Macaca fascicularis: one gene and its partners. The protein of the gene in region 6 interacts with the protein of the main gene of each other region in a pairwise test. Links are inferred from orthologs where the notes say so. Each region holds a gene or a part of one and is shown on either strand. Other genes may lie near its edges. The genes, in order: MID1, RNF32, DTX3, TRIM5, SIAH1, UBE2K and TRAIP.

Region 1 (3,500 bases), on a different chromosome or scaffold from region 6:
GGGGTTGGCTTAAGGCGGATCGGACTAACCTTCAATTTGTCATAGCGCTCACTCAAAGCTGCCACCTGATGATCGCGGTGCCGCCCAACCAGTTTACACAAGGCACAGATTAACTGGTCATCGGTCACGCAGTACATATTCACCTTCTCATCCTCATGCTCCAAGCACATCAGCCCCCGGATGTGTGAGTCCGGAATTGGCTCAATCAGACGATGGCCTGTAAAGGGCTTCTTATTCGGGTGAGTGGCTTTCAGGCACTCATCACAGTAGGATACTTCGCAAGTGACACAGGTCTTCACAGCGTCCTGGGCAGGATCCTGGTCACAAAACTGGCAGAGGACCTTCTCGGCGGAGGTCATGGTGTTGGCGTCAAAGGCCCGCTCCCGACGGGTCTCACTGGGAGAGTTGGGCCCGCTCACTGATGCTTTCTGGAACCTGTCGATGATGTTCTGTAGGGTGACGTTGCGCTTGAGCCCGTCTAGACCTCGCTGGCTGAGGGTGATGACATGCCGGCAGGTGGGGCACTGGAAGGCGGTGATGGACTCCACGGACTCGTTGGTGGCACAGTGTGATACTAGGATGCGGTGGGCACAGTTGAAGCAGAGGCTGTGTGCGCAGGGCAGTAGAAGAGGGTCCTCAAAGAGCTCCAGACAAATAGGGCAGGTCAGTTCTGACTCCAGTGTTTCCATCTTCAGGCAAAGCTCTCTTGTGTCATCAGCAAAACCCAAGGAAGCTGATCAGCTATCTGGAAACAAGAATGTAAGATCTGATTAGGCACAGGGAGGTCAACCATGGGGGGGTGTCAGCTTTGAATGCATCTCAGAATAATTCCAAACACAGGTCATGAAAGGGTAAGTGTGTGTACATTCCAAATAATTCTCTTTCTATTCACTGGGAGCCATCCTGAGCCATCATATACCAGTTAATATTTTCTCGAAGTTCAGTAACTGAAAGTTTACAATTTTGTTTTTGCAATTTTGTTTTTTAAAAGGCCTTATTCAAAACTGGAAAGTAATTGAAACTGTAATTTCCATAATTTGTATTTAATCAGAATAATCTTATTGTGTCAGAGTCAGGTTTAACCTTGCACAGAAAATTAAAATGTAGAAATATTCATCAATAGAGTCTTTTATAAATTTGAATTTATAAACTTACATATTAATGTATATGAGATTTAAGGACTTTTACTTTTATTTTGGCAATACCAAACCAGGTTTCAGAACGGTGGGAAGGCAGTAACTATAGAAATGGACATGAAATGTATATGAAATCAAATGCAGGGATTTCAGCAGAGATGATCGTGTTTAAGTATGGGATGTCATTTTCCAAAATATATTCCCGAGAAAAAACATTGACTTTCACAAAGATGATTGTGATACAGGCAATATTTCTGGCATGTGTTCATTATGCTTCTGAATAATTCTATTGTATAATCCGGCAGTGGGACGTGGGTAGGCAGAACGAAGCGGAGAAAAATATCTGGGGGCTTTTTTGGTGGCTGCAGTAAGTTTGAGTACCAATGACTAATATTTAGAGCAACAATTTAGTTAATTAGAATAAGGATTTCAGTGGTTATCATATTCATTTGATAAGTTATGTTATGACAATGATAACAATTACAGTATGACAATGATAACGATTACAATTTAAGGAGGCTTACAAACCTGCTGAGGGACCCTTTTGGCCAAAAAACTCCCATCACGGGTTTGTCACTGTTGCCAGCAAAAGGTCAGGCTGGCGGGAGGTCTAGCCTCACACTTAGAGCTGTGTTGGCCTGGGTACGACCTCTGCCAGCTTTGTTGCTCCCCTCCAGGCCACCCGAGGGTGGCCCAGCTGCCTGCTCCCCTCGCCATAAAGACCTGAGTGCTTTTGTGAACTCTCATCTGCCTTCCCATCAAAAAGGGTAGTGGAAGGAATTCCACACAAACCCCAGTTCATTAAGGGTGAAGAGGCCTCATGCTCATTAGCAGGCCTGGGAACCAAGCCGCTTTGAACCTTCTCCCTTTCAAGACCATTAGCAGAGGTCTGCAGACCAGTGATGGGAATATTAGATGCAGCCCACTGCAGGCTGTGGGAGAACAGTGCAGTTCACCCAGTGGTTGGGAGGTTCAAATCACCCACAGGGGTGGTGGGGAGAGCATTCTCAGCCGGATTTATGGGAAGGCTTCACATCCAAAGCTATGTTTAGTGATTCTGACAATCAATCGTTTGTATTCATACCTCTGCTTATTTACAAAATTTACGGTTTCTAGAATACCCTGACCCCTTCTGAAATAGCATCCCTCAGAAATACCATATGGTGCTTTGGTGAAATTAATGCTCATCTTGCTACCAACTGAATGGTAACTGATCATTAAAAGTATAAAGTATGTCCTGAGCCTGTTAAAAATTAAATAGCTACTGGCTTCATAAAAGTCTGGTATCTTAAAAAATCTTCAGCCATTCACTAGTATTTACTACATAGGAAAGAATAAAAGAGCAACTGTGACTTGAAATATTAAAGCTTGTACATCTTTCTATAACCTGCAATGGAAACCCTAGGGTTGCTGTTGTAAGAAACATATCATCCCCACTTGGTCTCAGTTACCTGTTCCTATAGATGGCTCAGAAGAAATGGAAAGTTTTTTACCTATTAATAATTATTTTGGTTAATCATAGAAAAAAATGTAGAATTATCTTTAAATCAAAGTTCTTCCACCTTCTCATCAAAAGCATATAAATTAAAGGAAAAATATTGCCCTTTTGGTCTGCTTTGTTCTTGGATAAAACAAGAATGCCTACCAATGAATCTCAATAGAAGGATGAGCATCAAATTATGTCTGGAGAGCTATGATGACTGTATTTTTAATGCAGGTGCCAGGATTCCATCCCAAAGAGGTGTGATGAGAATTTCTAGAAAGGATTCCGCTGGAGAGACCTCAGTGGAAATACTGACATTTTATTCATTCCTTCAACAGATGTTTACTGTGTGCCAGGCACTAAGTTAGCTGAAGAAGCCAGAATCTGGGGTTCACATCACCTCATCTCTATTATCACGGGCCAAGCCAGCATCATCTCTTATGTAGACTATCATAAGACCTTTCTAAACGATCTCTTGGCTTCTGTTCACTCCTGCCCTTCCCCCTATAGTCTATCCTCCACTCAGAAGCCAGACAGCCTGTTGTTAAAACATGACAGAACATGCCTCTCCTCTTGCTCTGCCCTGTAAGGGCTTCCCATTTCACCCAGAGAGAAATTCACCAGAATAAACTAGACCCAGAAAACAAAGACTCAGACAGTGAGCTCACTTCCTCCCATGCTACCCACTCCTCTCTCTGCTCTGGGCACATGGCCTCGTTCTGACTCCTCAAACATGCCAAGCACATCAATCCCCTGCTCGCCCCTGCAAGGTCTTCAGAATCCACATGACTCTCTGCTCCAGTGTCACTTTCTCTCTGAACCCATATAAAACCAATTCCCCTTCTACCACTATGCCACCTACCCATCGTGGCAATTCTTCC
Region 2 (3,500 bases), on a different chromosome or scaffold from region 6:
TGAAATCCACTAGCACAAAGGCGAGTCATGCGTGTCTATGGGACCACATGCAGATCGATCATGTGAATTTAGCTGTCACTGACACGCATTACTGACAACAATCTGTTACATAAACATTTGTGGTTCTTTTGTCACAAAACTCATGATTTTCAAAATAGGATGAATTGTACTGTAGCCTACAGTCATGTTTCTTTAACTATAGATGGTGGTGATGAATAAAATAAATGGCTCTTCTCAGGAGCCTTGAAAATGACTATAGTTTCTCTGCACTGTAAGAGCGATGTGTGGGGCACCTGAACAGGCGTGAGGGGCGGACTTACTCTGTGGAACACATGGGAGCATGAAAGCAGCACCTGTTCATGAGGAAACAGAACGACATTGAAGTTTACAAAAGAGAAGCAGCATGAATGCAACAGTTAAATTCCTGAATGCTTAGAAGGTAAGCTGTATTATTTCTTTAAAAATTAAAAAGGCAAATTTATAGCTTTGATGTTTATACTATTTATTGTTTGTTTAGCACAGCACAAGTATATACTCTAAACAAGAAAAATTAATGATCTGAAATATCAAATAAACACATGAAGTTTGATATGTAATTATCAAAATGAGTGTATACTTAAGAGCGAAACAATGACAAAATGAGTGTTTCCCTTAGATGCAGGCAAAGACTGCAAACTGGAGGGGTGAGGAGGGGGGCCCGTCCAGTGGGGCCAGGGAAACGCTAAGTAAATACCATTTAGGTCTTTGTACAGCTCAGTTATGCCCCCCAGTTTTTGTGAAATCATAGCCCTACTGAGATATAATTCTGACAGTCTTAAATTTAAATAGCAACACATCATGGAGACATAGGAGTCATTTTTTTTTTTTTTTTTTAATGCAGGGAGTGTGCTCACAAGAAAACTTCACCTTTCTGTGACCCAAATTCCCCACTAAACAGTGATATTCTGGGCTGTGACAAAAGACTGAAGCTTAGACCAAATGAAGAAGGCAGTGGGTACTCAGTAGAAGGGACAGAGCCACCAGCCCACCAGCGCCAGGCCCTGCGGGCTGCCACACGAAGGCCAGGCTTCCCTTGGGGCGGGGCTGCTTCCAGCAATGGGGAGGAAAGTGGGGGAACTTGTGAGACGGAGCAAAGCAGTGGGGGCAGGCGGAGGGGTTTCCCTTTCTGTCAAGAGTCTGACTCGGGTGACTGCAGTCTGGGCCCCTCCCGGGTGAGGTTTCAGTCTCAGGCGGCCCAGGATGCCTGCTGTGGGGAAAACTTAACAGTTTTTAAAGTGAATCCCACCTGCCTTCACTCAATGTGTGCTTTTCTTCTTAAATGGAAGAAATACAGAAATAAGTAGAACTCAGAAAGTTGTAAAACCTTTTCTTGAAACTTATTGCCAAGAGTAAGTCTGAATTGAATAAACTCAGTAATATGGGTCCTTTTTTATTACTACCGTTGAATAGCAATCTTTTCTATACTTCATTCATCCTTTATAGAATACTTTTCAGTGTTTCCTTAACATACATTCTATCTATATTGAGCAACATAAGACTCCAGTATATTAAAGTGTTATCTTTTTAAATGTCCACAAATATTTCTTATTGGCAAACATTCTCTGATGTAACAAAAATCAAGGAGTAAGTGGTGGAAAACATACTAAAAATGGCCTAGAAGGTAGGACTGGATTCCAGCAGGACTCCATACTTTCTAAGCTGGCCTACTATGAACCATTTGAATTATTTTTTATTTCCTCATCTGCTAAATGGGCAGAATGCCTACTATATGAAATTAATTGAAGGCCCTCTGAAATCATTAAATGTTGTAAAAATGCCAACTATTGTTTATAACTAAGGAAAAATCTGAACACGGAAATGATCATTAGAAGTGCCAAATATACAGGATAGGTTCTATATCAAAACCAAATAAAAATAATAGAATTTAGGGAGAAATTTATAAAAAACAGAAAGAAATGTTGGGCAGGGTACACCCTGATGCCCATAAGATACTAACTTTCACTTTTCATTCTTCATACAGACACTCCAGGCTCGATATTTTAGTATAAGAAAGAGGTTGCTTAGCCAGAAAGACACCCTCTGATTTTATTCACAGTTTTGCTACCTAAAGTACTAAATTATTCTAGACAATTTGTGGTTTTAGGGCTAAAATCTGTCCAAAATACCCAACTTTCACATACGTAAGATTAGGTCCTGATAGAGAAATGGAATAAGTATGTCTAAGTAACTTATGAATTCAGATTAGTGAAGAGAAGTGTAACTGTTGTGAGCTTTCTGCAGATGAAACTTACTCAAATTCAGCGAAGACTCAGAGTTCATTTGCCCAGACTGTAATAAGCCTGGGTTCCCAGGCTACGAACTCCAAGGCTGATTTTAATTGTATTTGCTGTATTTTCTCAGCAAATCTCTGAGGGCCTGCTATGCAGGAAGCGTCATGCCACACTCCGTGGGAAATCATTACAGGGCAATCGTGCACACGCGCGCGCGCGCGCACACACACACACACACTTCTGATAAATCTAAGTGTCCCCAACTTCAAGAGACTGTTTTTTTAGTTAGGCAGACAAAATATGTATAGAAAAAAACCCTACATGCATTCTCTCTCTCTCTCTCTCTCTGTGTGTGTGTGTGTGTGTGTGTGTGTGTATGTGTATTATCTGTTAACCCAGAGTAGTATCATCAATCTTACTATGGTAAAGTTTCATGAAGAGAAATCATTAAAAGATTTTACTTTTCTTAAAGATTTTCTCATAAATTCTTTGGAGACATTCAAGCACAGTTTTTTTTTTTCTTTTCTTTTCTGACTCAAATCACAAAACAACGTAAGAGTTCCTCTGCTTTCATCCTTCCCGCACTGGGACACAGCTGCTCCTGGGAAGCCCCCAGTTGTCTGCACAGCCACATGGGGCCTGTTGAACAGAAACATTCCTTTTGTACAAACGTTAGTACTTGAGAATACCAGTCAGTAAACAAACAAAACTATTTAATGAGGGTGTTTAGCTCTTCACACACTTTAATTAATGGAAAAGAAAATGGAAGTGTGTGAGGCTCACACAAGAGGATGAAACTGGGAAAAGGAAGCCTGGAATCTTAGGCTCCAGCTCTGGGCCTCATCCCTAGGAAACAGCCCAGGATTTCTCTAGCTCACCCTCATACGCTAAACACCTGAGGTCGAAGCTCGAATTCTTCTTTACAGATGGGGCATGGCTGCACCGAGTCCCCTTGCAGGAGGGAGCGCTGTTTCACCTTCTCCCATTCATCAGATGACAGCTGAGGTGGTGGAGGCCCAATGAGGCCCAACTTCTGTGCTAAAGGAAGACAGCAGACAGCACAGACAGCAGTTAGAATGTCTTTTAGCATATGGCACCCACCTATAATTTTAATGACACCATTTGCAAACAATTATTAAAGAACTACATATAGATCACATACTTTATTTCATAATAGAAGCTGTCCCTTGGTATCCACAAGGAAAGTGTTCCAGGACGTCTCAAGGATGC
Region 3 (4,007 bases), on a different chromosome or scaffold from region 6:
AGGGCGGGCCATGGTCTTCTTACCCCCTGGACACCGGGCGGGAAGACGTACTGGATGACAATGGTGCCATACTTCTCATAGCTGGGTAGTAGGAGGGTGGCGTCCTTAGAGACCAGCATCCGCCCATTCTGGGGCTGGTTGCCCACCAGCTGCCCATAGAAGCGGCCGCACATGGGGCAGGCCTTTTTCACCTGCAGAGCCCGGGTGATGCAGCCCTCGCAGAATGAATGCCGGCACTTCTCCAATGTCTTGGCATTCTGGATCTCCCCCAGACAGATGGGGCAGGTGCTCTCCTGCTCTTCTGCCTCCTCCCGAAGGCGAGGAGGAAGAGGTGGGGGCAGGGGGGGAGGAGGAGGGGGGAGCCCCCGAGCCCCTGGGGGCAGAAGTGGGGCTGCTCGGAGAGGGGGTGGGCCTGCGCGGTGCATCTCAGGGTGCTCCCCTCCACCCCCCAGAGCCAGGCAGCCCATCAGCTCCCCCTGCCTCTGAGCTTTCTTCAGCTCTTTCTCTGCCTCTTTTAGCAGCCCCTTAAGAGCCTTCCGGGCTAGGTAGAGCCCATTGGGAGGGGCCGGGGGAGGGCCCTGTGGGGAAAGCTGGAGAACATAGATGTCAGAAGTCTCGCCATCTATTAGGATGGACACACGATGCTCCTCCCGAAGCCGGGCCAGCCGGGCTGGGGTCTCTTTGCTCAGGAAGTCCCACACAGGCTTGGAGACAGTCACTTTGTTCTTGCAGGTGCCTCCACAGGCTGCCATTCTGGACAGGACGAACGACACTGCCCCCAGGGTGAAAGGGACTCAGGGTGGGGGGTCCCCATTTGACAAGTATCAGTGCCTCCTACTTCAGGTTCCTTCCAAACCCTCTATTACCTCTGTTTTCTCAAAGCCTAATCCCCAACCCTTCCCCCAAATTCATATTCTCTCTCCCCTTATCTTCCAAACCCAGTGCCCACTGAAGAGCAAAAAAGTTTCCAGAGCTGTATTATCATCTAAGCCAAGTATCAGTCTTGTTTCTCCTGTCATTTCTCCCAGATCATAGAAACAATTTGCCCCTCCCACTTCTGGGGGGAAAATGGGCTCTTTAAAGGGGAGGGAGACTTTTTGCCCCTCCTTTTTGCTTACTTTGATCCTGAAGAGCTTAGAATTGGCATGCAGGCTCACTCTTTTTTCCCTGCTCCCTACTTGTAGGTCATGTGAGCTGGTAGGGCGGAAAAAAAGGAAGGAAAGTGAGAAACCCCTTCTCCCAATTCCCATGGCCCCCAACCCAGCAGCCCATGGAACAGAGACAGAAACCTGGGTATAGGTTACTGAGAATGGTAACATGGAATGAAGGAAACCAGCTTAAGGGTGAAAATTGAGGATCCCTTGTGGGAGAGATACCTGGGAAGCCCATGGAAGATGATGGCAGCAGAAATCCTTCTATTTCCACTCAGCTGACCAGGACTGGGAATAGGGGAAGGGTAAAAAGTTATGATGGCAAATGTTACCATTTCCCTCAGCCAACCCAGAAATAAAAACTCCACTTCCATCTCCTCTCTCCTCTGCAGAATTCCATCATCAGCTTCTCCCCAAGTTGCTCAAGAAGGAACATGCTAACCTTCCTCCTTTCTTCCCCAGCTCTGAGGCCCCCAAGAAAGCCTAGGGCACACATAAAAGATGTCAGGAAAGAAAACGCCCACACAGGTGGAGGTCTTCTTGCCACCTCCCTCAGATCACATGGACCGGAATATTTCCTATGCTCTCCAACTCCTCCCCTGCTCCACGTTCCCAAATAATTCAGCCCCTATTGCCAGGGAGCCTTCCTTGAGAGCTAACTCAGTCCCTTCTGCTGAAGTCTGTTAAGGATGTGAACAAAGTGGCAGCAGCCCCTGCAATAACAAAGTTCTCATTGTCACCTTTTAAACCCAGCACAGGCAGGGCTGTCTGTCAGCTCCCAAGTCTGGCATTTAGGGAGGGGCGGGGCTCACACAAGGGCTCAGCTGGAGGGGCCTGATGTTTCCCCTGAGCCTGGTCGCATTGGGCTACCAGGCTGTACCCACAACACTTCCAAATGCAGCTCAAACAGAAAGAAGGGCCATTAGTGTGACCTCCATTCAATGACTGATCCAAAAAGGTGCAGCTGTCCCTTCATGCCTCCATCATCGTCCCCCAAGGCCAGATGCACCTCGAGATTCATAAAGTGAAAATGGAACCCTAGAGTCTCAGCCCATACAGTGTATCTGCGCTGCAACACCCCCCTCCCCATCACAGGGGACCCAGGACCTAGGTGTCCTAGCTCCAAGTCCTGCTGGCACAGAAAAGGGAGGCGGGGCCACAGTTTAGGGTGGGTCTGTGATTCCTCTGTGGGAACCCAGGCCGGACAAGGGACAGTCTCTCCCTCTAGATAGAGGCCAGAGGGAGGGACAGCCCGGAAGGGCAAGGGTCCCTGGGGGCATCCACTGAGGCAGCTCCCGCCCTACCCCCACGGCCTCCTCCAAGACCCGACCCGGAACCAACTCCCCACATCCCTCACTCGCCAAAGCCCCCGGATCCCCATTGCCGGGCGGGGATGCATGTCGGCCCCGATCGCAGCCCTCAGAACCCCCGAATGGAGGCCAAGGCTGGAGGGTGCTAGAAAGATGATCGGCCGGGCACGGAGCGGGGAACCCGGAGCCGCGCGCGGGGAGGGGAGGTGGAGGAGGGGGCGCCGGGGGAGCGAGGGGCGTGTGAGGGGTGCGAGCGGGGCCTGGGGGGCGCGCGGTGGGTGTGGGGGGCGCCGGGCTCACCTACCTCTCGTCAGCGCCGCCATTGCCGGTCACATGACTGAGGCTGTTGCTGGGATGACGGTCCGGGCCTTAGCAACAAGGGGGGGGGGAGACCCCGAAAGGTTGGGGGTTGCAGGGGGTGCAGGCTGAGGGAAAGGGAAGGAGGGAGGACAGCACCCTCTTTCCCCTCACAGGTGATAATCACCGTTCCTTTGACCCCCTTCTATCCGCAAGCCCCTGCCCTTCCTCCCCAAAACAAAAATGGAGGCGCTGTTCCAGTCTTTGGAGGGAGGGGGTGGCGTCATGGAACTGAGGGTAGGAGGTTAAATCCCTGGAGACGCCACCCTTCTCGCTCCCCGCTCCCGGCGGAGCACTCTCCCTTTTCTTTCCCAGCCAGCTGCGTAGCAGCTCCGGGGAGCTGGTGGTGGATGGGTGGGTGAAGTGTTGGTGGGTATATGGGGATTCGGGGGGGAGGGCGGCAATTTTTTGAATCCTTATGGTAGAAGGGCCTTTGAGGAACAATGTGGGATGGGAAGAGTCATAGTAAAAAAAAAAGCATTGGTTTTAAAAAATAAACAAATCCGGGTACTAAACTATTTCAATCCCCTCCCTCATCTGCCTGTTTCTAGATTGTTACCTCCTGTGACCCCCACAACCTGCTCTCAGTTGGTCATTGGTAAGTGCCTCTGATTTTTCTCTTTCCACAAACAGCGATATGGAGGCTGGTGCAGAATGGGAAACGAATACATTTTTTAAAAAATGGCTTGAGGTGGTGGTAGTGTCAAGTGTGTATGGTTCAAATAGAGTTAAAAACTCTCAGGAAAAAAAAAAAAAAAGCTCTGCTCTGCTTCCCACATCAAGCAGTCTCTGCCCAATTCAACTCACTTCCCTAGGGCCACATCAAGCCAGGTTTTTCCACCAGCCAAAAGACTTCCTCAGCCAAGACAGGAATCTCCCAAACTGGCAACAACCTCTATTCATCCACCCCTTTTTCACTCCCCCTCTAGACTGGAGAGCTGGTCACTTTCTTCACTTTCCCAGGACTCTGCTGTACTCTTCCTTCCCTCCAGGAAGAAGACAGCTTTCCCAGGAAGCCTGGGGGAATACTGGATTCCGTTTCTTTTAGCTGGTGGGCTGAGAGGCCTACTCACCTTTACAAAGATGGAGTGTTAGCAAGCCCAGAACTCAGGGAAGAGGAAGGGTCCCATCACCCTACCCTTCCCTGGCCCTCACTACCTCTGACCTCCCACGAAGTTGAAGACTTAAG
Region 4 (4,181 bases), on a different chromosome or scaffold from region 6:
CCATAGCTGCAAAGCCACATACCTCCCAGGTGGCTTCCCTCACAATTTGCTCACAAGGAAATTTCTTGTGGGCCCCAAGGTCTTTACTCTGAAACGGAGATCTGTTGAATTTCACCCTGACAATGTCAATTAGCAAGCTTATCTTCACTAGTATGGGACAAAGACAGAGGATAAATCATCCCTCAGCTCACCTGAGACAAATGCATGTTTGACTGTTTCTGCTACTCCCTGTTTATCTTTTGTAAAAATGCAGATTCACTGAGTGGGAGACAGTGCATAATTGATTACTCCTCCAAGCCCTCCTTTAACATGTAAATTATGGCTTCAGCTAACGCTAGCTAAAGCCTCAAAAGAATGTAACCTTTTGCTTCTTTTATCGACTCTCCTCCATTTTTTTCTTTTCTCTTTCCCCTTTAAATACTGAAGTCCTCAAACCCCCTTTGGAAAAAGCATGAATTACAGATGTTCCTGTGATTTTATGCTCCTTTTTCCTAGGCATGTCCTCAACCCTGGCAAAATAAACATCCAAATTGAGTGAGGCCCCCTTCCATTAGTTTCTTTGGTTTACAATGCCACCAGAAAGGTATTCTGTATGAGTTCAGAAGATGGGTGCCAAACACTGATTTATCACCAGAAGCAGGGACAAGAAACATGAAGCAGAGGTGAGCTCTCCAAAATCAACCTTAAGGCAGTAAGATTTGGTCAGATGAAGGGAAGTTGGGATGAGGAAACAGTTTTGCCTGGAGTCTTCCATATAAGCTTGAATTAGCTTAAGTGCAGCTATATCTTTCATGGGAAGGACATTTGGAGTTGAATACAGAGGGTCCCCATGAGAGAGACTCCCTCTCTCATGTGTCTCAGGATCCTGTTATCACACCACTTCTGACATCTGATATCATTAACATCAACCAAGTGTCGATGAAAAGGGTCAAACTCTGTAAAATATTTTGAAGAGATTTATTCTGTGCCAAATATGAGTGGCGATGCCCCATGACACAGCCCTCAGGAGATCCTAAGAACATGTGTCCAAGCTGGTTGGGGTGTAGCTTGGTTTCATATATTTTAAGGAGACAAGATACTTCAATCAAATACATTTAAGAAAGACTCTGGTTGACAACTGTCTTTATCTAAAGACCTGGGATCAATAGAAAGGAAATGTCTGAGTTCAGATAAGCAACTGTGGAGACCAAAGTTCTTACTGTGCAGATGCAGCCTTAGGGTATCAGGCTTCAGAGAGAATAGACTGAAATGTTTCTTACCAGACTTAGGGTCTATGTTGAAGTTCATGCTGGAGAGGAATAATGAGTCAGGTCCCACTTCCGTTTCCTGTCATGGCCTGAATCAGTCTTTCAGGTTACATTTTAAGAGCAGCCTGGCTGAGAAAGTCCATTCAGGTGGCTAGGGGCCACAGAATTTTATTTTTGGTTTACACAAGTACTCATTTTGTTTATTAAAAGTTAGAAACGGTGCCATCTCTGGGTATTCCTTCACATGCTTCTGCTGCTCTTTGTATCTCACCTAAGCTCTGCTTTTGCAGGGCACATTCGGCCCAAGGAGAGGGAGGAGCAAGGTTAATGATTTTTAAGGAAATCCAGTTGTTCCCTGAGTCTGGACTTGGTGCCTAGTAAGGGTAAACAGATGCTGTCACCACGAAGCCCTGATGAAATAACTGGGAAAGTTATTTTTCTTAATGGTTTTCTTTATTCCTTTTATTTATAGACAAAGCTGCTTAAAGAAGCCAGACTGCCCAGCATGGTCCATATCTTCACCCCGACCAGATCCAAGGGGGAAATTAGACCCCCAAACCTGCGTAAACTGGAACAGACAATCCCTCATTGCCTTTGGATCATTAACATATCACTAGAGTGTTATCCCACCCCGACAGCAAACAAGAAAATCTCCACCACTTTGTGGCATGTGTTGTATGAAGACATGTGTTTATAAACAGAGGTGGCACAACTGGAGCTTCACCCTGCAGGCTAACACTCCTTTCTCTTCCCATGCAGAGTTCTTTTAAAGCCCATGCTTCCCACTGTTTCGGGGGAGGGGGCTTTAGAGAAGGAGTTCTCTTATTCTCCACTCCCAGCAAGAAATAAAACCTGCTTGCCTTTTTTTGCCATTATCTTTGTAACCAATATGAACTAGGGAAATAACTCCGTTTACCAGTGACAATGACAGGGCTACAGAGCTGGACAGCTGTCACACCACCAAGGTGATGCCACAGAGACAGGCCCAGGTGATGAGAGCTGACCTGTAGAGTTATGCAGAAACACTACATTAGCACACTGATAGGCATTAAATCATTAGGGTTCCAAGGCCCCTGTCTTTGCCCTTGTTGGGAGAAGGCACTGAAAGAGAATTCTGGCTCTCTACAGCAAAGTTCAATAAAAAATTATAGAATAGAGAGGGGATGGCGAGAGAGTCAGCGTGGAAAAATAACCAGCCTTCCAGGAAACAAAGCGCTTCATTTTAAAGCTCTCCCTTCTTTCAAATCTGCCTGCCCACGAGGCAGCTCTATTCCCCTCAGTCAGCTCTGGCAGCAGGACGTCTGTGAACGGTGTCTTTTCCCCATCCCGAACAGCTTTTCAGATAAGTTAAACTCACCAAGGTAAATTCAGTTTTGTCCCAAAGACTTCCTACTTCTGCCCTCCACAAAGTCACTCAATACACCTTCAGACACCAGTGCAGAAGTAGTGAGTCTGGGGAGAAGAGTGAAGGCAGGCCAGGAAAGACACGGTTAGGATTCAGTCACCAATCCAGGGGCCTGATCTGCGCAAAGGAATTTTCCTAGAGGAAGTGCAGGAAATTCTTGCTCACATCGGGGCAGGAAAGTGAAAGATAAACTACAGGCCAATGGCGTTTCTCCACGTAGGGCCTGGTTGAGTCCCGCCCTCTGAATGAGTCAGCCTGCTGTGTAGCTGTGCTGTTCACAGGAGGAGCCTGTGAAGGGAAATAGAGGCATCCCCACTCTATTTCCCTTTTCTCTTGAGTCTCAGGATCTTGTTATCATGCCACTTCTGACATAGTTTCAGATTAACCCAACCAAGCATTAAAAATTAGAAAAGGTGCCCTTTATCGAAATTCTTCCAAAGTGCTCCTCTTGCTCCTGATCTCGCAGCTGAGTTCTGCTTCTGGGTGACAGATATGGCCCAAAGAGAAGGAAGAATAAAGTTAATGATTTTTAGAGAATCGCAGTAGATTTCTGGTCTGGACTTAAAAATCTTACAGGACCTATGAACAGAAAAGGAGCTACAGATAGAAGAGATGTCATATTATTAAGACTCCCAGACCCAGAGAGGACAGGATGCTAGAAATGTATCTGGAGAGGGCCGGGCGCGGTGGCTCACGCGCACTTTAGGAGGCCGAGGTGGGCGGATCACGACATCAGGAGATCGAGACCATCCTGGCTAACACGGTGAAAACCCGTCTCTACTTATAAAACACACACACACACACACACAAATTAGCCGGGCGTGGTGGCGGGCACCTGTGGTCCCAGCTACTCGGAAGGCTGAGGCAGGAGAATGGCATGAACCCGGGAGGCAGAGCTTGCAGTGACTGGAGATCACGCTCCTGCACCTACAGCCTGGGTGACAGAGCGAGACTCCGTCTAAAGAAAAAAAAAAAGAAAGAAAAGAAATTTATCTGGAGAGCCATGAAGAAACACCACATTATTACACTGACAGCAGTTCAACTATTAACTTTCAAAGAACTCTCCAACTTCCCCTTGTTGTCTTTTTCAAAGTATCTATTCCATCCCAGAGCAGGGCCAGGCCTTCCTCTCTTCTCTTCTGGTTACTATGTAAAACTTGTCCAAAAGGCTGAACTGTGGTCCATGTACCATAGCCTCCCTTCTAAGCCTTCCTTTACTGGAACATCTCAGGAAGTCCACACTGGAACTAGGATCACTGGTAGAGAGGAGTATTTAGTATGAAAATGAAAATGCCCCGGTGTGTGATGTTCCCCTTCCCGAGTCCAGGTGATCTCATTGTTCAGTTCCCACCTATGAGTGAGAACATGCGGTGTATCATGGGGAGGGGGAGGAGGGAGGGACTGCATTGAGAGTTATACCTGATGTAAATGAGGTATAACTAGTAGTTGATGGGTGCTGACGAGTTGATGGGTGCAGCACAGCAACATGGCACAAGTATACATATGTAATAAACCTGCACGTTACGCAC
Region 5 (2,885 bases), on a different chromosome or scaffold from region 6:
TTTATCCAGGACTTCACCTGTAACTCCCTATACCTATCAATAGCTGACTCCAAATTAGAAAGAAATAAGAGTAAGGGAGTCTCAGGGAGAGAGTCCTAGCAAAACGGATTCGATTAAACTTCAGTTCCTTGTATAGTTTCTCTAGTTGTTTATGGTCCATCTTCTATTTTAGCATTTATTATTCCATGTAGTCTATCCAAAGACGATTAAGGGAGTTCCAAATGTTTTCCGGAATATTTTGAAAAGAGAGCTTATCCAGTGTACAGATCCTAATAAAGTGCACATTCAGTGTAATTTTATTTTTTAGTATGTTACTTTTTAAATTCTATTTATTTTTCTTTCTCTTTTGCTCAGTAAATTTTGCATGAAACTTTAAGTACTTCTGGCATGTAAACATTATTTGTAAAATAAGTCATGGTTATAATTATTTTTCTCCTGCCTCCTTATGTATTTATTTCAGAAATGAGCCGTCAGACTGCTACAGCATTACCTACCGGTACCTCGAAGTGTCCACCATCCCAGAGGGTACCTGCCCTGACTGGCACAACTGCATCCAACAATGACTTGGCGAGTCTTTTTGAGTGTCCAGTCTGCTTTGACTATGTGTTACCACCCATTCTTCAATGTCAGAGTGGCCATCTTGTTTGTAGCAACTGTCGCCCAAAGCTCACATGTTGTCCAACTTGCCGGGGCCCTTTGGGATCCATTCGCAACTTGGCTATGGAGAAAGTGGCTAATTCAGTACTTTTCCCCTGTAAATATGCCTCTTCTGGATGTGAAATAACTCTGCCACACACAGAAAAAGCAGACCACGAAGAGCTCTGTGAGTTTAGGCCTTATTCCTGTCCGTGCCCTGGTGCTTCCTGTAAATGGCAAGGCTCTTTGGATGCTGTAATGCCCCATCTGATGCATCAGCATAAGTCCATTACAACCCTACAGGGAGAGGATATAGTTTTCCTTGCTACAGACATTAATCTTCCTGGTGCTGTTGACTGGGTGATGATGCAGTCCTGTTTTGGCTTTCACTTCATGTTAGTCTTGGAGAAACAGGAAAAATACGATGGTCACCAGCAGTTCTTTGCAATTGTACAGCTGATAGGAACACGCAAGCAAGCTGAAAATTTTGCTTACCGACTTGAGCTAAATGGTCACAGGCGACGATTGACTTGGGAAGCGACTCCTCGATCTATTCATGAAGGAATTGCAACAGCCATTATGAATAGCGACTGCCTAGTCTTTGACACCAGCATTGCACAGCTTTTTGCAGAAAATGGCAATTTAGGCATCAATGTAACTATTTCCATGTGTTGAAATGGCAATCAAACATTTTCTGGCCAGTGTTTAAAACTTCAGTTTCACAGAAAATAAGGCACCCATCTGCCTGCCAACCTAAAATTCTTTTGGTAGGTGGAAGCTAGACACATGAAGGTAAATGAAAGGAAAGGCTGTTAAATACAGGAAACAGTTGCATGTAGTAACACTAATATATTTAAAAATAAGTCAACAGTAAACCACTGAAAAAATATATGTATATACACCCAAGATGGGCATCTTTTGTATTAAGAAAGGAAGCATTGTAAAATAATTCTGAGTTTTGTGTTTGTTGTAGATTGATTGTATTGTTGAAAAATAGTTATTTTGTTTTGTTTTTGCGTGGGAGTGTGTGCGTGCGTGGGTGTGTGCGTGTTTGGGTTTTTCTCCTTTAACTGACAAGCCATCTTGAGTGGTCATGGGCCACTGCTTTTCCCCTTTGTGAGTCAATACATAGTGCTGCTGTGTGCTTTTTTGTGTGTGTATTTGCTAATTTTTATTAATTTTAGTTTTTCATTAAATAAATTTGACTTTCCTTTCTGTAATTCAGGTTTTTCTTCACTTTTTTTGTACCATTTTAAAGTTAGTGTCTTTTGATATGCATACTTGTTATGGTAAAAGTTTGTAACATGTGTTCAATATTTTCTTTTCCCCCATTAATCAGTTCATTAGAAATATTTTAAAATCAGCTACTTTGTGAAGCTATGAGTTCCAGAAAGTAAAGGTGACATCGGAAAAATGATCAAAAGCTATTTAAAGCATCTGTAAGATGGTCTCTCTCTTTCTCTCTTCTACGGATGAGTCACACCTTTGAGCTTAATCTTTGAAAGGTTAGAGAATAAATTGATTTTTATAAGTACTGCAAATCAGGCTTTTGTTTCCTTTTTCAAATATCTTGGATAAATCACATGTTTAAAATTTGTTCTTGTATTTATTGGTTTTGCAAAAGAAGGCATCGTCATGCACAGTATTTGTAATTAAAAGCAAATCATTTGTTTAAAAAGGCAGTTTGCAAAAAAATGTTTTTGGTCTTTTATAATTCTCATTAAAAGAATTTCTGGCAAATTAAAAAAATCTTACTGTGTCTGCTTTAGCTCTAAGTTTGATAAAATCCAAAGTTATTTTCCTGTTTCATTCCGTACTTTAATTATATAGCAGAAAGCTGTGTGTTGTCATTTTTAAGTGTGGTAGAGTTATACTCTAAATCACAGCAAATAACTGGGTATATGGCTTCTGGATTACAGTCTTTCCCATGCTCTGCCCCTCTTGCCCACATTTTGATTCTTACAACTGTCAGGAGAATGACTAAAATGCTGACCACTTTTCACCTCTTTAAAAAAGCACAATGAAATAATAAATTTACTATTTCATAGCCTAGTGGTTAAGAGCCTTGGTTCTGCAGCCAGACTTCAGGCACCTAAGTGCCAGTCTCGGCTCTACCCCACTAACCAGCTGTGTGACCTTGGGCCCCAGTTTCCTAATGTGTAAAGTGGGGTTAAATTATGGTAGCTACTTAAAAAGTTTTAATGGGGTACAGGTATGTTACCTCAAACAGTGCTTTGTTCATATCAGCA
Region 6 (4,175 bases):
CACAACAGAATATGAAAACATAGCTACTTCTGACATCTAACAGCTATCTGTTTAATTATGTCCCAAGGTTATTCTAAGCACTGTAAAGACACTCTTAATCTTCCCACAGTTTTTACAGATAAAGATAATCGAGATACAGAGCCAGTACTTCAGGTTTTAAGAAGAAAAGCCAGGACTCAAAGCAAATCTAATTATAAAGCCCATGCTCTTAATTACTAAGCTAACTTCACTAAATTATGCTTCAGGAGTTAAAAATCTCTACCTCCTTGGCAAGTTTAAGTTCTCATACTAAGAGGGGGAAAAGAAAAGACACATTTAAATAATACTGCATTGTTATCTCCTTCTGTAAAGTTGTATTAGCAGTCAGCTTTTACACTATCGTTTATGAAAAGGATATTCCCACAAACCAACTACTTATTATGACTAAACTGGTATGCAAAAAGCCTGGGTTCAACCATTAACCAGCTGTTTCTCTGAGGAACAATCAACCTCCTTGGGCCTCAGTTTCCTGATTTTATAGATGAGGAGTTTGGCCTAGATCTATTTCAGCACTGAAATTCAATACATTTTAGTACATTTTCTAAGACACTATATTTTTCTTAACAGATTTTGAACAGCATCTTTTGAAAACTTTCCAACTTAAAATACGTAACATATACTCACATCTGTTCTTTTACTCAAACATACTCAAAACTAATCTGTTATTAGAAGTCAGGAAAGTAACTAGAAAGGAAGGAGGATTCCTATGGTACTGGGAAGGGTCTGTTTCTTGATTTGGATGCCAGTCACACTTTATTATGTACACGTTTTACTTTAATATGAAAAAGGGTGGTTTTCCTCCCCAAAAGGTAACTATGAAGAAAGTTAAGAACATGATCTAACTCTACAACTATGTTTGAGTATATAAGAGCTGTGCAACCTTTCTGTTCTACATATGTAAATGTGTTTCTTGAATAAGTGCATCAATAATCTCTTTGTTCCATAGTTCCAATTCATGTGCCTAGAGAAAAGTTTATTTACTTAAGAATTTCAGCCAGGCGTGGTGGCTCACACCTGCAATCCCAACACTTTGGGAGGCCAACGCTGGCAGATCATCTGAGTTCGGGAGTTCAAGAACAGCCTGATCGACCACCATGGAGAAACTCGGTCTCTACTAAAAATACAAAATTAGCTGAGCTTGGTGGTGCATGCCTGTAATCCCAGCTACTCAGGAGGCTGAGGCAGGAGAATCGCTTGAACCCAGGAGACAGAGGTTGCAATGAGCCGAGATTGCGCCATTGCACTCCAGCCTGGGCAACAAGAGCAAAACTCTGTCTCGGGGGGGAAAAAAAAAAGAATCGCAATATTACCACAATTCCTTTGGGACTGTCTCCTGAAATTTGAGGTCAGTCTTAACTTTCCTCAGCTCAAGAAGGCTGGGTGAGGTGGCTCATGCCTATAATCCCAGAACGTTGGGAAGCTGAGGCAGAAGGACTGTGTGAAGCCAGGAGTTCAAGACCAGCCTGGGCAACATAGTGAGACCCCATCTCTACAAAAAGTAAAAACTAGCTGGGTGTGGCAGCACGTACCTGTAGACCCAGCTACTTGGGAGGCTGAGGTGGAAGGCTTGCTAGAACCCAGGAGGTCAAGGCTGCAGTGAGCTATGACTGTGCTCCTGGGCGAATGAGGGAGACCCCGTCTCAACAACAACAACAACAACAAAAAGCACCTAGCTCAAGAACCCCCCTCATACAGTCATACAGCCCGGGCACGATGGCTCACGCCTGTAATCCCAGCACTTTCAGAAGCCAAGGCAGGCGGATCACCTGAGGTCAGGAGTTCGAGACCAGCCTGGCTAGAAACCCCATCTCTACTAAAAATAGGAAAATTAGCTGGGTGTGGTGGCACGTGCCTATAATCCCAGCTACTGGGTCAAGCAGTAGAACTACCTGACCTGGGAAGCAGAAGCTGCAGTGAGCCAAAATCACGCCACCGCACTCCAGCCTGGGTGAGAGTGAGTTTCCATCTCAAACAAAACAAAACAAAAAAACTCCAGGTCGGGTGGCTCATGCGTGTAAGCCCAGCACTTTGGGAGGCCAAGACAGCCAGATCACTTGAGGTCAGGAGTGTGAGACCAGCCTGGCCACATGGTGAAATCCAGTCTCTACTAAAAATACAAAAAATTAGCCAGGTGTGGTGGCGCATGCCTGTGATTCCAGCCATTCCGGAGGCTGAGGCCTGAGAATCACTTGAAGCCAGGAGGTGGAGGTTGCAGTGAGCCAAGATCAAGCCACTGTACTCCAGGCTGGGCGACAGAGACTCTGACTCAAAACAAAACAAAAACAAAAAAGAACCTCCCTCATTCAAATACCCTCAGAATCCCATAGCATTTACTCTTTGCCCCTCCCATTTTTATCTATCCTTTGTCTGTCCTGTATCTCCAACCAGTAAGCCTTTTGGGGCTGTGGTCAACATGTTCAGTAACTATCAATAATGTATTCACTGGGAAATAAGAGTACATAGTCTTGGCTGGGCATGGTGGCTCACACTTGTAATCTCATCACTTTGGAAGAGCGAGGCAGGTGGATCACTTGAGGTCAGGAGTTTGAGACCAGCCTGGCCGACATCATAAAACCCTGTCTCTACTAACAATATAAAAAATTAGTTGGGCATGGTGGGGTGCGCCTGTAGTCCCAGCTACTTGGGAGGCTGAGGCAGGAGAACCACTTAACCTGGGAGGCGGAGGCTGCAGAGAGCTTGGATCATGCAACTGGACTCCAGCCAGGGTGACAGAGCGAGATTCCATCTGAAAAAAAAAAAAAAAAAAAAAAAAAAAAGTCCAGGCATGCCAGGCATGGTGGCTCACCATGTAAGCCCAGCACTTTGGGAGGCCGAGGCAGGCAGATCATCTGAGGTCAGGAGTTTGAGACCAGCCTGGCCAATATAGTGAAACCCTGCCTCTATTAAAACTACAAAAATTAGCAGGGTGTAGTGCCCGGGCGCGGTGGCTCACACCTGTAATCTCAGCACTTTGGGAGGCCAAAGCAGGCTGATCACGAGGTCAGGAGACCGAGACCATCCTGGCCAACATGGTGAAACCCCATCTCTACTAAAAAAATACAACAAATTAGCCGGGCCTGGTGGCGGGTGCCTGTAGTCCCAGCTACTCGGGAGGCTGAGGCAGGAGAATGGCGTGAACCCGGAAGGCGGAGCCTGCAGTGAGCTGAGATTGCGCACCACTGCACTCCAGCCTGAGCAACAGAGCGAGACTCTGTCTCAAAAAAAAAAAAAAAAAAAAAAAAAAAATTAGCTGGGCAGGGTGGCGCATGCCTGTAATCCCGGGATTCCAGCCATTCCGGAGGCTGAGGCATTGGTTGAACCTGGGAGGCGAAGGTTGCAGTGAGCAAGATCAAGCCACTGCACTCCAGGCTGGGTGACAGAGCCGAGACTCCTTCTCAAAAACAAAACAACAACAAAAAGGAATCTCACTCATACAGATACCCTTAGAATCCCATAGCATTTACTCTTTGCCCCTACCATTTTTATCTATCCTTTGTCTGCCCTGTATCTCCAACCAGTTAAGCTTTTTGGGGCTACAGTCAGTATTTTCAAAAACTGTCAATAATGTATTCACTGGGAAATAAGAGTATATAGTCTTGGCTGGGCAGTGGTGGCTCATGCCTGTAATCCCAGCACTTTGGGAGGCCGAGGCAGTTGGATCACTTGAGGTCAGGGGTTCAAGACCAGCCTGGCCAACATGGTAAAACCCTGTCTCTACTAACAATACAAAACATTAACTGGGCGTGGTAGGGTGCACCTGTAATACCAGCTACTCAGGAGGCTGAGGCACGAGGGTCACTTGAACCCGGGAGGCAGAGACCATGGTGAGCTGAGATTGTGCCACCATACTCCAGCCTGGACGACAGAGCGAGACTCTGTCTCAAAAAAAAAAAAAAAAAAAAAAAAAAAAAAAAGCCCAGGTGCAGTGGCTCACGCCTGTAATCCCAACACTTTGGGAGGCCAAGGCGGCAAAATCACAAGGTCAGGAGTTCGAGACCAGCCTGGCTAATATAGTGAAACCCGTCTCTACTAAAAATACAAAAAATACCAAAAAAAAAAAACAAAAAACCCTCAGGCATGGTGGCACATGCCTGTAATCCCAGCTACTCAGGAGGCTGAGACAGGAGAACTGCTTG
Region 7 (4,086 bases), on a different chromosome or scaffold from region 6:
GTGGATTTCTTGGGCTGAGAGTGAAGATCATCCTCACCACAGTGTATTCCTCAATGGTGGTGGTGGTGGGGGTCCTCTGGACTCTAGAAATCCATGTGAGTAGTGGGTCTTGGGCTGCATTTGGACCGAGGAATACTCCCTGGGCTGAGAGCTCAAGTAAGGGCTGCTGTTTTTGACTCCTGTTGACCGAGGAGCCTCACTCTTGATTTAGGCATAGAGCTGGAATCTACCTGGGCCAGCCACCACAAGGACAGACCCTGCTATTAGCCAAAGATAGCTTCCCTGAGCTGGGGAGAGGGTGTAGGGTGAGCAGTGCACAAAGATTCTATAATGCTCTGCGTTCTTCCTGTGAACACCTGTGCTTTCCACATATGCCCCAAATGAAATCTCACTCTGGGTCTATTTCAGCTGGAGCAGATCAGCTTTATATTATGGGGCTATGCATAAGGTTTCTTCTGGGTAGAGGGAGTAACATTGCTACAGATACTAAACCTAAAAACCCAAAAGTTTACTTACTACACCCCACGTGGGCCTGGGTGAACTTACCAGGGATGCTGCTCTCTGGGAGGACCTCAAAGATAACCTCCTCAAAGATAACTTCTCTGATGTGGGAATAATAAAAAGAATTTGTTAGTCTCTAGTCTTTGAAGCATCTGGGCCTCCAAAATTCCAACCCTACTACAGTCCCAAGCATAACCGATCCTCCTGAGAGTTAAGAGCTAAAGTCAGGGTACTGGCCCTAGTGTCTCCAAACTCAAGGATAGTCATGTCTTACTTGGATGAAGCCAAGGTTGGCCTGGGGTGACCTGAGGGACTGGGGCCTATGTGTCAATCTTTCCAGAATCGCCCGGAACTGATGACTGAGAGGGTAGAGTATTTTGGTCTATGGGAAATATAGACCACAGCGCATGGTCCAGCACTGTCCAGAGCCCAAGGGACCCATCTGGACCATTGTTCTATTCCCTTGCGGCTGCAGTTTTCTCTGCCTTGGCCCAGCCTGCCTCGCGCCAGCTCTGGCGTGGGACTACAATGCGCTGCCTTGCCCTGGAGAAGGGTCCAGCTGGCAGCCTCGCTGCTCCCCGCCTTGATATAACGCTGCGCTCTCAAGTGGCAGGTCGAGTCCTCCCAGAAGACGCCAGAGAGCGACCGCGTTCCGCCCAGGATTCTCTACGGCCTCGGGGCCACTAAGCCCCGCCCCTAGTTCCGCCCACCCGAGGATTTGTCCAATCCAGACGAAATATTTACGCTCCGCCCAAAGTTTTGTGTTGTCACTTCCGGCCTGCTCCAGGAAGTCGTGCTGCGGAGCCAAATTTGAAGGCAGTGGAGGCGCGGGGGAGCGTCTGCGAAGCCGGACCTGTAGCAGTTTCTTTGGCTGCCTGGGCCCCTTGAGTCCAGCCATCATGCCTATCCGTGCTCTGTGCACTATCTGCTCCGACTTCTTCGATCACTCCCGCGACGTGGCCGCCATCCACTGCGGCCACACCTTCCACTTGCAGTGGTGAGTGACTGCAGTGTTGGGGCCCGATGTTTGCCCGGGTACCGCTTCAGGGCCGCGAGGTGTCGGGCCTCCAGGCAGTCCTTCCCCGGAATCCAGACAAGTGATGAGAACCTTCCTCCTAAACGAGGCCCCACGGGAGCTTCCCAACTTGGACAGAAGTGGGTCAGGACAGGCTTTCTGGCAGAGGTGATAGCTGAGCTAAGCCTGAGGGGGACTGAGATGGCTCAGTGAAGACAGATGCTTCCTTGATCACCTATACAAACAGATGTGATTTCACAACCGTTAGCCTGGGCAAGGGTGAGCTTTCACTACATCAACAAATCCTTTTATTTCTTCCAGATAGAAACCTGGTAGGTTTCTGGCAACCCAAGAGGGTAGGGTTACTTGATGGTTTGGAATTAGGACACCCCAGTGTATTCGCCATGTCAGCAAACCCGTTTAACATGGGGAAGGCAAGGAGATGCTCCCCCTATCCAGGGGTCCTGCTGACCGTGTAGGGCCATTCTGTTGAGTGTACAGCTAGTGGGGAAAGATTCCCCTAGCAGATGTGGACAGGCTGGTTTGGACCTCCTAGCAAAAGAGATAAGGCAGAGTTACCCCTGGGAATGGTGGGTGATAATAATCACAGGGGGCTTGTAGGGCTAAAGGCCCTAGGAAGCAGAGAGGCAGGCATGACCCTGATGGCTGCTGGCTTACTGGCAAAGCTTTGTTTAGACCTGTGTTGCTGACAGCCTGAGCCCCATGCTGAGGGAGCCACTGCTGTTTGGTTAGACTAGAAATTAAGCTCGCATCTAAGAGTACTGTACTTTATTTTCTATTTGCCTACTCTATTTTCTTCTATCCTTTTACTTTATTTGTTTATTTTTATTTATTTATTTATTTTTGAGATGGAGTCTCGCTCCTGTCACGCAGGCTGGAGTGCAGTGGTGCGATCTTGGCTCACTGCAACCGCCACCTCCTGGGTTCAAGTGATTCTCCTTCCTTAGCCTCCCGAGTAGCTGACATTACAGGCGTGCGCCACCACGCCCAACTAATTTTTGTATTTTTAGTAGAGACGGGGGTTTCTCCATGTTGGCCAGGCTGGTCTCAAACTCCTGACCTCAGGTGATCCACTCGCCTTGGCCTCCCAAAGTGCTAGGGCCTGTCCTTTTATTTTAAACTTTTCTGTGTACTTGTGTTTTACATGTATCCCTTGAAAACAGCATTTATTTCTTTTTTTATATATTAAAAATTACTTTAGCTTACCCCAAAGATCTTTATTTTATTTTATTTTGAGACAGGGTCTCACTCCGTTACCCAGGCTGCAGTGCAATGGTGCCATCTTAGCTCACTGCAGCCTTGACCTCCTGGGCTAAGGTGATTCTCCCACCTTAGCCTCCCAAGTAGCTGGGACTACAGGTGCCTGCCAGCATGCTCGACTAATTTTTTTTTTTTTGTATTTTTAGTAGAGATGGGGTCTTGCTATGTTGCCCAGGCTGGTCCCGAACCCCTGGACTCAAGCAATCCACCCACCTTGGCCTCCCAAAGTGCTAGGATTACAGGCGTGAGCCACTGCGCCCAGCCTGGGAAAACAGCATTTAGTTGGACTTTTTTTTTTTTTTTTTTTTTTTTTTTGAGAGGGAGTCTCGCTCTGTCTCCCAGGCTGGAGTGCAGTGGCGCAATCTCCACTCACTGCAAGCTTCGCCTCCTGGGTTCACGCCATTCTCCTGCCTCAGCCTCCTGTGTGGCTGGGACTACAGGCGCCCGCCACCGCGCCCGGCTAATTTTTGTATTTTTAATAGAGACGGGGTTTCACCGTGTTAGTCAGGATGGTCTCGATCTCCTGACCTCGTGATCCGCCCATCTCGGCCTCCCAAAGTGCTGGGGTTACAGGCGTGAGCCACCGCGCCCGGCCTAGTTGGACTTTTAAAAGTCCAGTCTGATAATCTTTGTATTTAACTGAACCATTTAGTCTACTTAAAATTGTTGCAATTACTGATTAAATGAAGAGTAAATCTATTGTCTTTAGTCGATTCTGTTTTGTCTTGCCTATTATATCTTATTCTCTCCTTTCTTGCCTTGGTGGGAATTGGTTAAATATTCTGTATTTCTCCATTTTCCCTCAGTTAGTTTGGACGTTATGTACCCCATTTCCATTTATAAGTGGTTATCCTAGAAATTAAGGTATGTATCCTTAACTTACCAATTTCAAGGTTAATCAACACCTTTCTCATTTTCCCAGGCAACTCAAAGAGCTTAGAATAGTAACACTCTCTTCCCACTTCTACATTATTGTTGAATGTTTTAATTGGTGTATTTGTGGTATTTTTTTTGTTGGTGTTATTTTTGAGACAGAGTCCTTCTGTCTTGCCCAAGCTGGTCTGCAGTGGTGCAATCTCTGCTCAGCCTCCTGGACTCAAGCGATCCTCCTGCCTCAGCCTCACAAATAGCTGGGATTACAGGTGCATGTCACCATGCCCAGCTAATTTTGTTTTTTAGAGACAGGATTTTGCCATGCTGCCCAGGCTGGTTTGAAACTCCTGTACTCAAGCGATCCACCCTCCTTGGCCTGCCAAAGTGCTTGGGTTTACAGGCATGAGCCAACACGA

Evidence for each region.
Region 1: the proteins of UBE2K (region 6) and MID1 interact in binary tests that used the Homo sapiens proteins (3 or more experiments, as listed by UniProt). The link is inferred for Macaca fascicularis from reciprocal best matches to the Homo sapiens genes UBE2K and MID1.
Region 2: the proteins of UBE2K (region 6) and RNF32 interact in binary tests that used the Homo sapiens proteins (3 or more experiments, as listed by UniProt). The link is inferred for Macaca fascicularis from reciprocal best matches to the Homo sapiens genes UBE2K and RNF32.
Region 3: the proteins of UBE2K (region 6) and DTX3 interact in binary tests that used the Homo sapiens proteins (3 or more experiments, as listed by UniProt). The link is inferred for Macaca fascicularis from reciprocal best matches to the Homo sapiens genes UBE2K and DTX3.
Region 4: the proteins of UBE2K (region 6) and TRIM5 interact in binary tests that used the Homo sapiens proteins (3 or more experiments, as listed by UniProt). The link is inferred for Macaca fascicularis from reciprocal best matches to the Homo sapiens genes UBE2K and TRIM5.
Region 5: the proteins of UBE2K (region 6) and SIAH1 interact in binary tests that used the Homo sapiens proteins (3 or more experiments, as listed by UniProt). The link is inferred for Macaca fascicularis from reciprocal best matches to the Homo sapiens genes UBE2K and SIAH1.
Region 7: the proteins of UBE2K (region 6) and TRAIP interact in binary tests that used the Homo sapiens proteins (3 or more experiments, as listed by UniProt). The link is inferred for Macaca fascicularis from reciprocal best matches to the Homo sapiens genes UBE2K and TRAIP.

Annotation. Positions count from the first base shown.
Region 1 is NC_088395.1:10,265,561-10,269,060, forward strand, and holds part of MID1 (E3 ubiquitin-protein ligase Midline-1), read right to left. Parts: intron 746-3,500; 5' UTR 690-745; coding exon 30-689; intron 1-29. UniProt on the Homo sapiens protein: Has E3 ubiquitin ligase activity towards IGBP1, promoting its monoubiquitination, which results in deprotection of the catalytic subunit of protein phosphatase PP2A, and its subsequent degradation by polyubiquitination.
Region 2 is NC_088377.1:197,954,086-197,957,585, reverse strand, and holds part of RNF32 (RING finger protein 32), read right to left. Parts: intron 3,309-3,500; coding exon 3,166-3,308; exon of another isoform or gene 3,155-3,165; coding exon of another isoform or gene 3,149-3,154; intron 354-3,148; coding exon 321-353; intron 1-320. UniProt on the Homo sapiens protein: May play a role in sperm formation.
Region 3 is NC_088385.1:64,415,542-64,419,548, reverse strand, and holds the start of DTX3 (probable E3 ubiquitin-protein ligase DTX3), read right to left. Parts: upstream 2,801-4,007; 5' UTR 2,766-2,800; exon of another isoform or gene 1,892-2,765; intron 1,635-1,891; 5' UTR 1,594-1,634; intron 1,440-1,593; 5' UTR 1,377-1,439; intron 1,195-1,376; 5' UTR 1,148-1,194; coding exon 1,119-1,147; intron 773-1,118; coding exon of another isoform or gene 754-772; coding exon 24-753; intron 1-23. UniProt on the Homo sapiens protein: Regulator of Notch signaling, a signaling pathway involved in cell-cell communications that regulates a broad spectrum of cell-fate determinations.
Region 4 is NC_088388.1:68,355,383-68,359,563, reverse strand, and holds the start of TRIM5 (tripartite motif-containing protein 5), read right to left. Parts: upstream 2,801-4,181; 5' UTR 2,753-2,800; exon of another isoform or gene 2,605-2,752; intron 1,558-2,604; exon of another isoform or gene 1,260-1,557; intron 1-1,259.
Region 5 is NC_088394.1:44,266,633-44,269,517, reverse strand, and holds the end of SIAH1 (E3 ubiquitin-protein ligase SIAH1), read left to right. Parts: intron 1-460; coding exon 461-1,311; coding exon of another isoform or gene 1,312-1,414; 3' UTR 1,415-2,385; downstream 2,386-2,885. Other genes in the region: LONP2 (lon protease homolog 2, peroxisomal), read right to left, coding at 1,295-1,414. UniProt on the Homo sapiens protein: E3 ubiquitin-protein ligase that mediates ubiquitination and subsequent proteasomal degradation of target proteins.
Region 6 is NC_088379.1:38,999,249-39,003,423, reverse strand, and holds the start of UBE2K (ubiquitin-conjugating enzyme E2 K), read right to left. Parts: upstream 2,801-4,175; 5' UTR 2,786-2,800; coding exon 2,712-2,785; intron 1-2,711. UniProt on the Homo sapiens protein: Accepts ubiquitin from the E1 complex and catalyzes its covalent attachment to other proteins. In vitro, in the presence or in the absence of BRCA1-BARD1 E3 ubiquitin-protein ligase complex, catalyzes the synthesis of 'Lys-48'-linked polyubiquitin chains.
Region 7 is NC_088376.1:112,887,604-112,891,689, reverse strand, and holds the start of TRAIP (E3 ubiquitin-protein ligase TRAIP), read left to right. Parts: upstream 1-1,286; 5' UTR 1,287-1,400; coding exon 1,401-1,498; exon of another isoform or gene 1,499-1,795; intron 1,796-4,086. UniProt on the Homo sapiens protein: E3 ubiquitin ligase required to protect genome stability in response to replication stress.